Callithrix jacchus: one gene and its partners. The protein of the gene in region 1 purifies or fractionates together with the protein of each later gene. This does not show direct contact. Links are inferred from orthologs where the notes say so. Each region holds a gene or a part of one and is shown in the gene's direction. Other genes may lie near its edges. The genes, in order: JOSD2, AHCYL2 and AHCYL1.

Region 1 (4,240 bases):
CCATGCCGTGTTTGTGGCCCGAGGGGCTCTGTGGGGCACTGAGGACATCAGGAGATTGGATGCAGCTGGGGGCCTCCAGGTTCGGGTCTGCTGGGCTCCCGAGGAACCGGAGGGGGCCTGCCAAGACCCTACACCCCCTGACCCGGGCTCTTGCTTCCAGAGCCTGCGTGTCACCATGGCCACACACCCCGATGGCTTCCGGCTGGAGGGACCCCTGGCTGCAGCCCACAGCACCGGGCATCGCACTGTGCTCTATGAAGGCCCTGTCCGTGGGCTCTGCCCCTTTGCCCCCCGAAACTCCAACACCATGGCGGCCGCTGCCCTGGCTGCCCCCAGCCTGGGCTTCGATGGGGTGATTGGGGTGCTTGTGGCTGATCTCAGGTGAGCAGAGCTGAGCAGGGGGTTGGGCCAAGTCCAGGGTAACCAGACTGACCGCCCTGCTTGCCCCAGCCTCACGGACATGCACGTGGTGGACGTGGAGCTGAGCGGACCCCCGGGCCCCACGGGCCGAAGCTTTGCTGTGCACACCCGCAGAGAGAACCCTGCAGAGCGAGGCGCGGTCACCGGCTCTGCCACCGTCACGGCCTTCTGGTGGAGCCTCCTGGGTGCGGCCAGGCTCCGCTCCCCCAGCCCTGGGCTCCTGTGTCTGCAGAGGGTGGGGTCCCAGGCCCTGGCTAGTTCTGCAGTTCTGGTTCTGTCCTTGTTGACCTTTACTTCCGACCTTTATTTCCTTAACCCTCTCTCTCCACGACTTTGAATCCTGGCACTGTAGATGTCTCCATCTCTGTCCGTGTCTCCTCTCTTGAGTCTCTGTGCCCGCCTCTGTCTGGTACTGTGTGTGTGTATGTGTGTGTGTGTGTGTGTGTGTGTCTCTGTCCACCCCCAGGGCTCTGTCTTGCTTTCTTGGGGGTCTTCCTCCACCGCCGCCCTGGCCTGTCCCTTTCTCTCACCACTGCCTCTCATCTCTCCTCTCTCAGTAGCTCATTCCCCTCTCTCCCCGCAGCCTGCTGCCAGCTCCCCTCCAGGCCGGGGATCCATCTCTGCTGAGAAGCCTCTCCCTCCCGAGACGAGATCATCTGACTGGCCTCCCTCTCCTGCCCTGCTCCACTTCCCCAGGATCTCCCTTCTAACTCAGTAAAGATCACAGATGCCCGCAGCTCCGCCGCCTGGCGTCTCTGGTCCTGTTTCCCTTGTGTGACGTCACGCTGCGTCTACGCACCGCGCAGGACGCCATCACAAGGGGCGAGCACCCGCGACAGCGCGGAGCCAGGAAGCTATCGCGAGAGCCTACCCACTATATTTCCCAGAATCTCTGCGCGGCAGTGGGCGCGGCCGTACGCGAGGGAATGGCCTCTGAGGCGCACTTCCGGGACTTGCCGCGGGGCCCGACCAAAGTTGTAGTGCGGCGTTTTCTGGGCCCGACAGCGGACCTCAGGGCTACGCGCCCTGGGCGTTCCTTGTGGAGCAAGCGTCCCGCGGGGACCCACGGGAGTAGCAGTCCGGCGTGCGGGGACCGCCGGGAGCTGTAGTCCGTCCCTCCTGCCCAGTCAGCGCAGCGCTGCCCGCCCCGCACTGGGAGCCCAGATCCGCCGCCCAGGAGGGGGATGCGGAAGCCCCTGGCTCGGTGGAGTGGAGAGGCTGGCGGGGTGAGGGGCGTTGCCAGGCAAAGGGCGAGCGCCGTGGTTGGGCTGCGGGTCGGTGAAGGGCTCCATTCCTTGGTGTCCGGGGACGGGGCCTGGTTGCCGGGAGATGGGAAGAGGTACTCCTGTTGCTTAGTGACTGGGGAGAGGGCCCCCCCCCCGTTGCCAAGTGACAAGAGCAGAGAGCCTGGCTGCTTCCTGACCAGGGAAGGGAGTCTTCTGTTGCTAGGAGACCAGAGGGGACCCTATCACCTAGAGACAGAGGAGGAGGACCCTCTATTGCTAGGTGCTCGGAGGACAGACTGTTACCTAGTGCGGTGGGACGGGGGCTGTGTTGCTAGGTAACCACAGAGCGCCCCGGTTACCTAGGGACAGGGGAGGAGGGTTCCTCTGTTGCTAGGTGAGCATGTTAGGGACCCTGTTACTTAGAGACGTGGTGGGGGTGGTTCTCTGTTGCTAAGGGAGCTGAAGAGACAGCCTTTTTCGTAGGAATAGGAATAGGGGATGGAGGAACGTGTACTGCCAGGAGACTGCCAGGGAGCAGGATCAGGGGCCCGGGGTCCTCCCGGACTGTCCCGAGCCCCAGCTCAATCAATGGCGATGCCCCAAAGGCCTGCTGGGAGGTTGAACCTCTAGATACCAGGCCCCTGAGGACCTTCTCCCCCTCCCAACCCCCAGCAGGAGCCAAGGACGGCATGTCCCAGGCCCCGGGAGCACAGCCGAGTCCGCCCTCTGTGTACCACGAACGGCAGCGCCTGGAGCTGTGTGCCGTCCACGCCCTCAACAACGTTCTGCAGCAGCAGCTCTTTAGCCAGGAGGCTGCCGATGAGATCTGCAAGAGGTGACCGTCACCCACCCCAGCCCCTGGAGCAGCAGGCAGGCGCGCTGAGCCTGGGGGCCTTTCTTCTGCCCCCACCCTGCTCACTTGCCTAAGCTAGACACTGGGGAGATGTTGCCTCCTGTGCCTGTCTGTCCCTGTGGCTTCAGCCCCAGCCAGGCCTCAATCCGGTGGTTCTTTCGTTTTTTTAGAGACAGTCTTGCTGTGCTGCTCGGCTGGCCTCGAGCTCCCAAGCTTAAGTGATCCTCCCACCTCAGCCTCCCCAGGAGCTGTGATTACAGGCTCACCCAGCTTCAGGGTCTCTTATCTGGGCCCTGTCACAGCTCTCCAGTCCATCCTAAACATGCCCCGCCCTGCTCAGGGCCCTCCTCGTAGCAGAGGCTGAGCCTGCCTCTGCAGCTTCAGCCATCAGACCCCCTCAAACCAGACTTCACTCCACTCCCCTGGAGGCCCCACTGTGTGGCCTCTGGGCCTCCAAGTACTTCTTTCTGCCTGGCGTGGCTGCCTTCCCTGCCAGCCTGGAATGTTCCTCTTCACTATTCACCATGTCAAACATCACTCCTTAGCCAGGCATGGTGGCTCACTCCTGGAATCCCAGCACTTTGGGAGGCCAAGGTGGGTGGATCACTTAAGGTCAGGAGTTTGAGACCGCCCTGGCCAACAGGGTGAAACCCTATCTCTACTAAAAAAATTTAAAAAACATTAGCTGGGCATGGTGGTACACACCTGTAGTCCCAGCTACTCTGGAGAATTGCTTGAACCTGGGAGACAGAGGTTTCAGTGAGCCAGGCAACAGAGCAAGACCCTGTCTCAAACAAACATATGCCTTTATCATCTCACTCCCTCCTCTCTGTCCCCATGTCCTTGGCCCTAGCTCAGGCCTGACCCTCTCCTGCCCAGCCTGCCTGTGACCGCCAGTCTGTCCCCTCCCTCAGTCCCCACATGACACTAGAGGGTCTTTCTACACCCAGAGATAGCCCTGCCTCCTCTGCGCCTTGCTCGAAGCCTCCTTCGGCTCCCGGATAGCCTGAGTCTCAGACTGATTATTATGGGGTATATTCATCTCTGTCATTCAGAACAAGGACCCATCAGCTCTTTCATGCCAAAGCCATGCTGGAGACCCTGAGATGACTGATACACGAGTGCTGGCCTGAGGGAGGCGAGGGAAACACACACACAGGAGCTTTTTCGTCCCGTGCCCTGCTCTCCCAGGGCCCAGATAGGGAACAGATGTGCAGCGGTTCAGAGGCAGGGCCCAAAGATGCAAGTGTTGGCTGGCAGAAGAGCCTTCTTGGGCGGGGCGTGCCCTACAGGGGATGTGGGTGGGGACAGGGCCAGGAAGAAGGGGGCTAAGGCTCTGAGGTAAGGCCACCAGGTCCAGACCACGCAGGACCTCGTGGGAGTCTGTCCTGGGGGAAGTGAGGCAGCAGAGTGGGCTGTGACCAGGGGAAGGGCAGGGCTGCCCCGTGGGAGGAGCAGGCAGTGTTCAGTCAGGGTGATCCGGGCAGCTGTCATCATTGAGGTGCTCAGTTCACTGGGGCAGCCCAGAGAGGGCCTTGACTCAGCCTGGAGGTCAGGAGGCTCCTCTCAGAGGATGTGACATCTGAGGTGGGTCTTGACAGACAGAGGAAGGGACTGGCCAAGGGATGGGGACTTTGTCCAGGGGCGCTGGGGAGCCATGGGAGGCCTGTGAGCAGGGGAGGCTCAGGGCCTCAGGGAAATGGACTAGAGTGAGAGACTGGGGGACAAAGACTTTCTGGGG
Region 2 (3,648 bases), on another chromosome or scaffold:
GGCACTCTGACCTTTCACAGTTTTCCACCCTTAAAAGTGATGGCAGTACTTACTCCACTGAGAGAAGCATTTTCTAGAGAGTGTTTCTTAACCCCTAAGAAAACTTGGGGGTTAGGGAACTATCTTCAGAAACTCAAACACAAATCAGGGAAGGACACTGCTTCAAATAATCTAGCAAATGGTTAGCAACTACAGAACTCTATGAAGACTAAAGACCTCAGCTAAGCATGTGAATAGCAATAGCAGCAGCTGCCTGTTATAGCCACAATAAAGTTTTAGACCTTTCACGCTCTAGGGTATGTTGCTAAATGGATTCGTTATCAGAGCATTTTTTTGTACCAAAAGAGGATTTATTTACTTCTTTGAGAGCCTAAAATGCACAGCACCCACTGAGGCCAGCAAGAAGGGAGAGCACATTGAATACTTCATTGTCGATGTATAATTGGGTCTGCAGGCACAATTCAGCTTCATCAGAGTCAGTCTTAAAAAAGAAAGCTCTATTATGTCAGACAAATACTTTTTGTGTGGTTCTTAATTACTTTCCCGTGGGTTCCTTGTTTTCTAGGTCTTATCTATTCAGTAATTTCACTAAAACACAAATTATATCAAATACTTAGGCAGCACACAGAGCAGAGTAGCTAGAATCCCCAAAACCCACAGGTTAATGACCATGATTTTCACCTAAAGCTACTGTTGTGTAACCTCTCTCTTTTTTGCGAATTCAAGGACCTCTGCATGTTCTGAAGATAAAGTTAGCCCTAGATTTCAAGTTAAGGCTATCCAGGGAGAATGTCTTTGGCAGTCTCTTTCAGCTTCCCTCTTCTGGCCTGTGTTTAGCATGTAGGTGCTTACCAGAGGTAAAAAATTTATATGGTGCTAGCTGGCTAGAGAAACTTCAGTTCACTCCATGATCCAGAATTTTAGAGGAAGCATTTTTTCCCCCTGAGAGTTTTTTATTCTGTCATTCCAGCGGCTTCATATACAGATAGCTCTGATGATGAGACATCCCCCAGGGACAAGCAGCAAAAGAACTCTAAGGGAAGCAGTGACTTCTGTGTCAAGAACATCAAACAAGCAGAGTTCGGACGAAGAGAAATTGAAATTGCTGAACAAGGTAAAGAAAACAAGCACATTTTCCTTCTCAGCCTGCCTGTGTCTTTTTGTCCATATTAATCCCTTATGTCTGGGGTCTGGTAGCTTGTGAAATTTCTATGTGATAATGAAGAGTACTTAAAACAAAATAAATATGAGCTCAGGAAACACTGAGGAACTCTGACAAGTCTACAAGGAACCCTATATTAAAAAAAAGGGGGTCCAAAGTGGCTCCCGCCGGAGGTCGTGGCGCTTGCGAAGGCGAGGTCATGAGCTCAAGGCTAACCTGAGCAACCTTATAAGCTCAAACTGATTGGCAAAAAAATAAATAAATAAAAATAAAAAATAAAGAGAGGCCAGGCACGGTGGCTCGCACCTTTAATCCCAGCACTTTGGGAGTCTGAGGCAGGCGGATCACCTGAGGTCAGGAGTTCAAGACCAGTCTGGCTAACATGGTGAAACTCCATCTCTACTAAAAATATAAAAATTAGCTGGGCATGGTGGTACACGCTTGTAATCCCAGCTACTCGGGAGACTGAGGTAGGAGAATCGCTTGAACCCAGGAGGCAGAGGTTGTAGTGAGCCCAGATCGTGCCATTGCACTCCCACCTGGGCAACACAAGTGAGACTTCATCTCAACAACAACAACAAAAATCATTAAAAAAAAAAAAAAAAAAAAAAGGACAGAGACTGGATAATGACTAGAATATAGAGACTCAGAACCCTGAAACATTTGTCTCTAAAAGTTTTTTATAAAGGAAAATTCAGGTTTAATGTCTTGATCCCTTGAGGGGAAGGATCTTAAGAAAGTAAGTTTTTCTGTTTGTTCTTTTATCTCTTATTCCCTCCTGTTTAATATTGTTGTTTATATATTGGGCCTTTTCAGAAATGCCTGCACTGATGGCTTTGAGGAAGAGAGCTCAAGGAGAAAAGCCTTTGGCTGGAGCCAAAATCGTGGGTTGCACACACATCACTGCTCAGACTGCTGTGAGTTCTTTTCCTTTCTCCTTTTAATAAGAATAGTTAATAATAGCCACGAGCTACTGAAAGCTTACAACATGCCAAGTACTGAGTTAAGAGCTTAGCAAGTATTAGCGCATTAATCCTTATAATGGCCATATAAAGCAGGTATTGTTTCCATTTTGTAAACAAAGAAGCTGAGGCTCAGAGGACTTAAAATATTTGTTTAAGGTTACATAGCTAGAAATCACGGAGTCAAGATTTTAACTTCAATATACAGTAGTCTCCCTACCTTGTCTGTGGGGGATAAGTTTCAAGACCCCCCAGTGGACACCTGAAATTTTAGACAGTACCTAACCCTATGTATACTATGTTTTTTCCTATACATATATACCTATGATTAAGTTTAATTTATGCAATTGGGCCTCCGGTGCACACCAGTCCTTCCTGAGGATTTGACCAATTGCAGATCAAAATATTCAGAAAATAAAATAATACAACAATAAAAAAAGATAAGAAATATAACAACTATTTATGTAGCATTTATACCATATTAGGTATTATAAATAACCTAGAGATGCTTTAAAATATACAGAAGGGGCTGGGCACAGTGGCTCACACCTGTAATCCCAGCACTTTGGGAGGTTGAGGTGGGCAGATCACCTGAGGTCGGGAGTTTAAGACCAGACTGACCAACATGGAAAAATCCTGTCTCTCCTAAAAATACAAAATTAGCTGGGTGTGGTGGTGCATGCCTATAGTCCCAACTACTCAGGAGGCTGAGGCAAGAGAATCGCTTGAACCCAGGAGGCAGAGTTTTCAGTGAGCTGAGATCATGCCATTGCACTCCAGTCTGGGCAACAAGAGTGAAACCCTGTCTCAAATATATATATATATATATGTGTGTATATATACATGTGTATATATACATATATATACACACACACACATATATACACACGCACATATATATACACACACACATATACACACGCACATATATACACACACACATATACACATGCACACATATATACACACACACATATATACACATGCACATATATATACACACACATACACATGCACATATATATACACACACACATATATACACACACACACATATATATACACACACACATATACACACGCACATATATATACACACACACATATATATATACACACACACACATATATATATACACACACACACACATATATATATATATATACACACACACAGAAGGATGTGCACAGGTTATATGCAAACACTGCATCATTTTATATAAGGGACTTGAGTATCCTCAGATTTTGGTATCATGGGAGTCCTGGAATCAATCCCCTGAGGATACTGAGAGGCAGCTATAAATTAGGCACTATAAGAAATGAATAATAATAACTCAAAATAAAAGAGAGCAATTATAACAATAGACTGTAATAAAAGTTATGCCACATAAAGGAATTTATCACAGTACATAGCAGAAAGTCCAAAGGGAAGGCAGACTTCAGATGCAGGATCTCAGGGCTCCAGCTTCACCTCTCTGATTCTCTTGGAGCTGCCTCCTCAGTGTGCTTACTTCACTCTCACGC
Region 3 (3,648 bases), on another chromosome or scaffold:
TATTTGTTAGTCAAGCTCCGGTGCAGTATATGTGGTTTGGCTTGAGTCTTTATTTACTTTCTTATTTATCTTTGAAACTTGATTGATTTATCTTACACGAGAAAGTCTTTCTTTCTTTCCCTTTTTGAACCATATCCTAATTGTGTGGAAACACAAGAAAGGATTTTGAAACGATGACTCATTCTACAGGCATTCATTGAATGCCTTCCTACATGTTTAAGAACCTGGGCTGGGTGCCAGCATAGGTAGCTCTTTCCCTTCCATGCCTTTAGGATGTGTTCCTAGATTTAATTAAACAGGATCTGTCCTCTGTCCCCTCCTTATTTCACAGAGTAGGCTAACGAAAACTTGCCTGGTTAAATTTTAAATAGAAATACCCACAGGGTTTTCTCTTAGGCCTGGTACTCATAGTATGCATGGCTATTACTACATGGCTGGTCTCTGCTTTCATTCTTGGTGTGAACTGTGCTAGACTTGTGTTCCCTTGATTACTGCCTTATTACCTGTGGAGTCCTGCTAATTCAGTTTTTAATTTATTTATGTTAGCTGCGTATGCCTAGGCTGCCCCCTTAAACCCGATTCTTACACTGCAGTCTGGTGCTCTCCTAGCTGAAGAGTACATGTGAAAGAGGAGGGGAAGCTTTTGCAGCTGTAACTAATGGGTAGTTTACTGTTCCTGGCTTTAAAATGGCTATAACCATGTTGCCAGTATTATGCAGAGAAGATTTTAATCTGTAGTTGTTTACATTTCTGAAGTATTCGCTAAAGGCTTAGCTTAATGGATTCTCCATGGGAACCTTTTCAAATTTAGTCAGACTGTGAACAGAATCTCAGTTGAGATTCTCAAGCCATCCTGCTTATTTCAGGATGGTGAAGTTTATTTTATTTTGAAGGGGGTTTGTCAGAGTTTAAACAGGAGTTCAGCAGATTTAAACCATGTAATAAAAGTGTTACATACTGTATAAATCTATAATTAATATTAATTACCAGCTATTTGCTGTTGATTAGAGCCAGTTTTCCAAGTATCCTTCAAAGAATTATCTAGTTCTGGTTTATTTCATTTAAGGTATTTTTTAATACGAAGTTTACCAAGTCATTATTTTCTCCTTCATTCATATTAGTCCTAATGAGTTAGAATTGACTATAGTGTATGCGGGTTTTTCAATTTTTCTTTATCATTCTGGTATTTTAAATTTTTTACTAGGATAGAAGGTTTTGGGGATAGTACCTTGGCTTTGTGAAGTATAGACATATGGTTGGGCTCTGAGTACTGGCACCTTAATGCCCATCATCATTTCTAGGCATCTCTTCATAATTCTTTCAGAAAGCAAGACCATTGCCAACTTTAGGAATATGCTACCAGAGAATATTCTGAAAACAAAAACCAAAAAAACCCAGTAACACTATGAGATTCTGTTTTCTGAAAGATTTGGGAAGGGGGCAAAGAGTTTAACATGTCAGGGTTATAAGAGGGAGGAAAACTTTATGGAATGTGAGAAAGGTTTATAAAATTGGACAAATACTAAAAGAAGTTGGGCTTAATCTTAGCCCCTCCTTCCAAATCCTGCAGAAATAATTGGGAGGAGAAAGTGATTGATGTTTTGGGAGAAGTCAAGAGAGTAGCCTTGCCTTCCCCTGTTTCTGGTGGGAAAGTGCTGGCTTAGTAGGAGCCATGTGATAACATTGGCTTTTAGGAAAGACAGTTTAAAAAATGGAACATTTCATGGAATTTCCTTACAAGTTTTCAACTTTTTGTCTTTCTTTTGTATAGCAAATCCAGTTTGCTGATGACATGCAGGAGTTCACCAAATTCCCCACCAAAACTGGCCGAAGATCTTTGTCTCGCTCCATCTCACAGTCCTCTACTGATAGCTACAGTTCAGGTAGATGTGAATAAACTCCATGACCTCTTGAATCTCTCTTCCCTGTTTGCTACCTGTGCTCTTCACTTACCAGCCTGGAAATACCTCCTGTTATGACTGCCCACCATTGTGCTGAAAACAGTTAGTGGCTGAGCAGTGGGAATGTTCTGCATTCAGGCTAGTAGCTGGGGAAGCTTTTGTTGACGCGAGACTTTCTTCCCCCTGGCCGTCTATGTGTGTGGTCTGTGGCCAGTGCCCAGTTGGTAGGACTGGGCTAGTTCCCATTCCCACATTGAGCTGCCCACATTTCAAAGGGAAGAAATCAATGCTATTTTGGCTGACAGAATTGGCCTTGAAAACGAAGTGCATTTTGAAGCACGATTTCTTTGTATAAAATATACCCTGCCCCCTATCTTTTTCTTTCTTGTCCCCAAGACTACTTAGATTGTAACAATAACTGCTTAGATCATAGTTAGTATTTTGGCTCCTTTTATTTACGAGGTTATTCCTTCTGTTGTAATATCCTCCCCTGTTAGCCTCTGAAGTAGGAAAGATTCAGACTCTACTATAATGTGACTCCAGCTCTGTTTCTTCTTAGTCCTCTCCTCCTATCTTAACTCTCTATAAGTAAAGTCTTTTTCTGATTCATATTGTGTCCTTCCCAACTATAGAGCATGTATTAGAAAATTAGCATAGAAAAGAATATAGAATCTTGGCAACTGAATATAGGAGAAAACATCAGGGATATCTAATGGGGCATCCAGTAAAACCTTGTCATTGTTTAACTGAAAACTCACTGTTAAAAAGATTACAGGTTACAGATTGCTATTAATGATCAGCAGAGATATTTGTACCAAAAGCCATTCATTGTCCTTTGCCAGAATACCTTTTGCATTGTGTTATTAACATTAAGGATTAACATAAATGAAAAGCCATTATATATGATCTTGGAGTGACAGATAAAAAGAGGTGGGTGACAAGCAGGCTAATTGTAGCTAAGAAAGAAGAAACATCGTGAAAAGTTCAGTTATGAGAGGAAGAATGATAAAATGACTGAAGAAGGCTTTTAAAAAGTCTTCAAAGATCTTGATGGCCATGTTGCAGAAATGTATTAGAGCCTTTTAAAAAGCCTAGTGATGTGGTTAAATTGTTACAGTGGGGAAGATATTTTTTTTTTTTTTTTTAAAGACAGAGTCTCTCTCTGTTGCCCAGGTGGAGTGCAGTGGTGTAATGGCAGCTCATTGCAACCTCTGCCTCCTTTGTTCAAGAGATTCTCCTGCCTCAACCTTCCAAGTAGCTGGGACTACAGGCGCATGCCACCACACCTAGCTAATTTTTGTCTTTTTAGTAGAGACAGGGTTTCATCATGTTGGCCAGGATGGTCTCAATCTCTTGACCTCTTGATCCGCCTGCCTCGGCCTCCCGAAGTGCTGGGATTACAGGCATAAGCCACTGCACCTGGCCGGAAGGTAATCTTTAGTAGTATTTGTGTTAGCTGGACAGGAGGAGGACCTGTATATAGAAGTCAGTCAGTGAGAGAGACCAGGTATACGAGCAGAAACAGTGATGAGGAAAGCGCTCAATTCAGAGAGGAACGAAGTGATTTGAGAGGTAAGGAATGGTTGCTGTATGTCTTCTTGCATGTCTGTTGGCTTTTTTGGCTTTTATGTGAAACTGCTTTTTAAAGTTGATCATTTTGACAGGCTTTCCCAGTGCTAACAATAGAGCTGCTTGTCTTTTGTGCCGTTTCTTTCTTTCTCTATTCCTTGAGCACAAGCTAGTGTAA

What was found.
Region 2: the proteins of JOSD2 (region 1) and AHCYL2 purify together in Homo sapiens (affinity purification with mass spectrometry; 3 studies listed by BioGRID and IntAct, counting the BioPlex papers as one, with this or other methods). This does not show direct contact. The link is inferred for Callithrix jacchus from reciprocal best matches to the Homo sapiens genes JOSD2 and AHCYL2.
Region 3: the proteins of JOSD2 (region 1) and AHCYL1 purify together in Homo sapiens (affinity purification with mass spectrometry; 4 studies listed by BioGRID and IntAct, counting the BioPlex papers as one, with this or other methods). This does not show direct contact. The link is inferred for Callithrix jacchus from reciprocal best matches to the Homo sapiens genes JOSD2 and AHCYL1.

The regions. Positions count from the first base shown.
Region 1 is NC_133523.1:44,162,095-44,166,334, reverse strand, and holds the start of JOSD2 (josephin-2), read left to right. Parts: upstream 1-1,328; 5' UTR 1,329-1,749; coding exon 1,750-1,759; intron 1,760-2,318; coding exon 2,319-2,481; intron 2,482-4,240. Other genes in the region: ASPDH (aspartate dehydrogenase domain-containing protein), read left to right, coding at 1-381, 451-655, 1,004-1,138. UniProt on the Homo sapiens protein: Cleaves 'Lys-63'-linked poly-ubiquitin chains, and with lesser efficiency 'Lys-48'-linked poly-ubiquitin chains (in vitro). May act as a deubiquitinating enzyme.
Region 2 is NC_133512.1:117,813,464-117,817,111, reverse strand, and holds part of AHCYL2 (adenosylhomocysteinase 3), read left to right. Parts: intron 1-970; coding exon 971-1,114; intron 1,115-1,978; coding exon 1,979-2,079; intron 2,080-3,648. UniProt on the Homo sapiens protein: May regulate the electrogenic sodium/bicarbonate cotransporter SLC4A4 activity and Mg(2+)-sensitivity. On the contrary of its homolog AHCYL1, does not regulate ITPR1 sensitivity to inositol 1,4,5-trisphosphate.
Region 3 is NC_133508.1:147,856,915-147,860,562, forward strand, and holds part of AHCYL1 (S-adenosylhomocysteine hydrolase-like protein 1), read left to right. Parts: intron 1-1,771; coding exon 1,772-1,883; intron 1,884-3,648. UniProt on the Homo sapiens protein: Multifaceted cellular regulator which coordinates several essential cellular functions including regulation of epithelial HCO3(-) and fluid secretion, mRNA processing and DNA replication.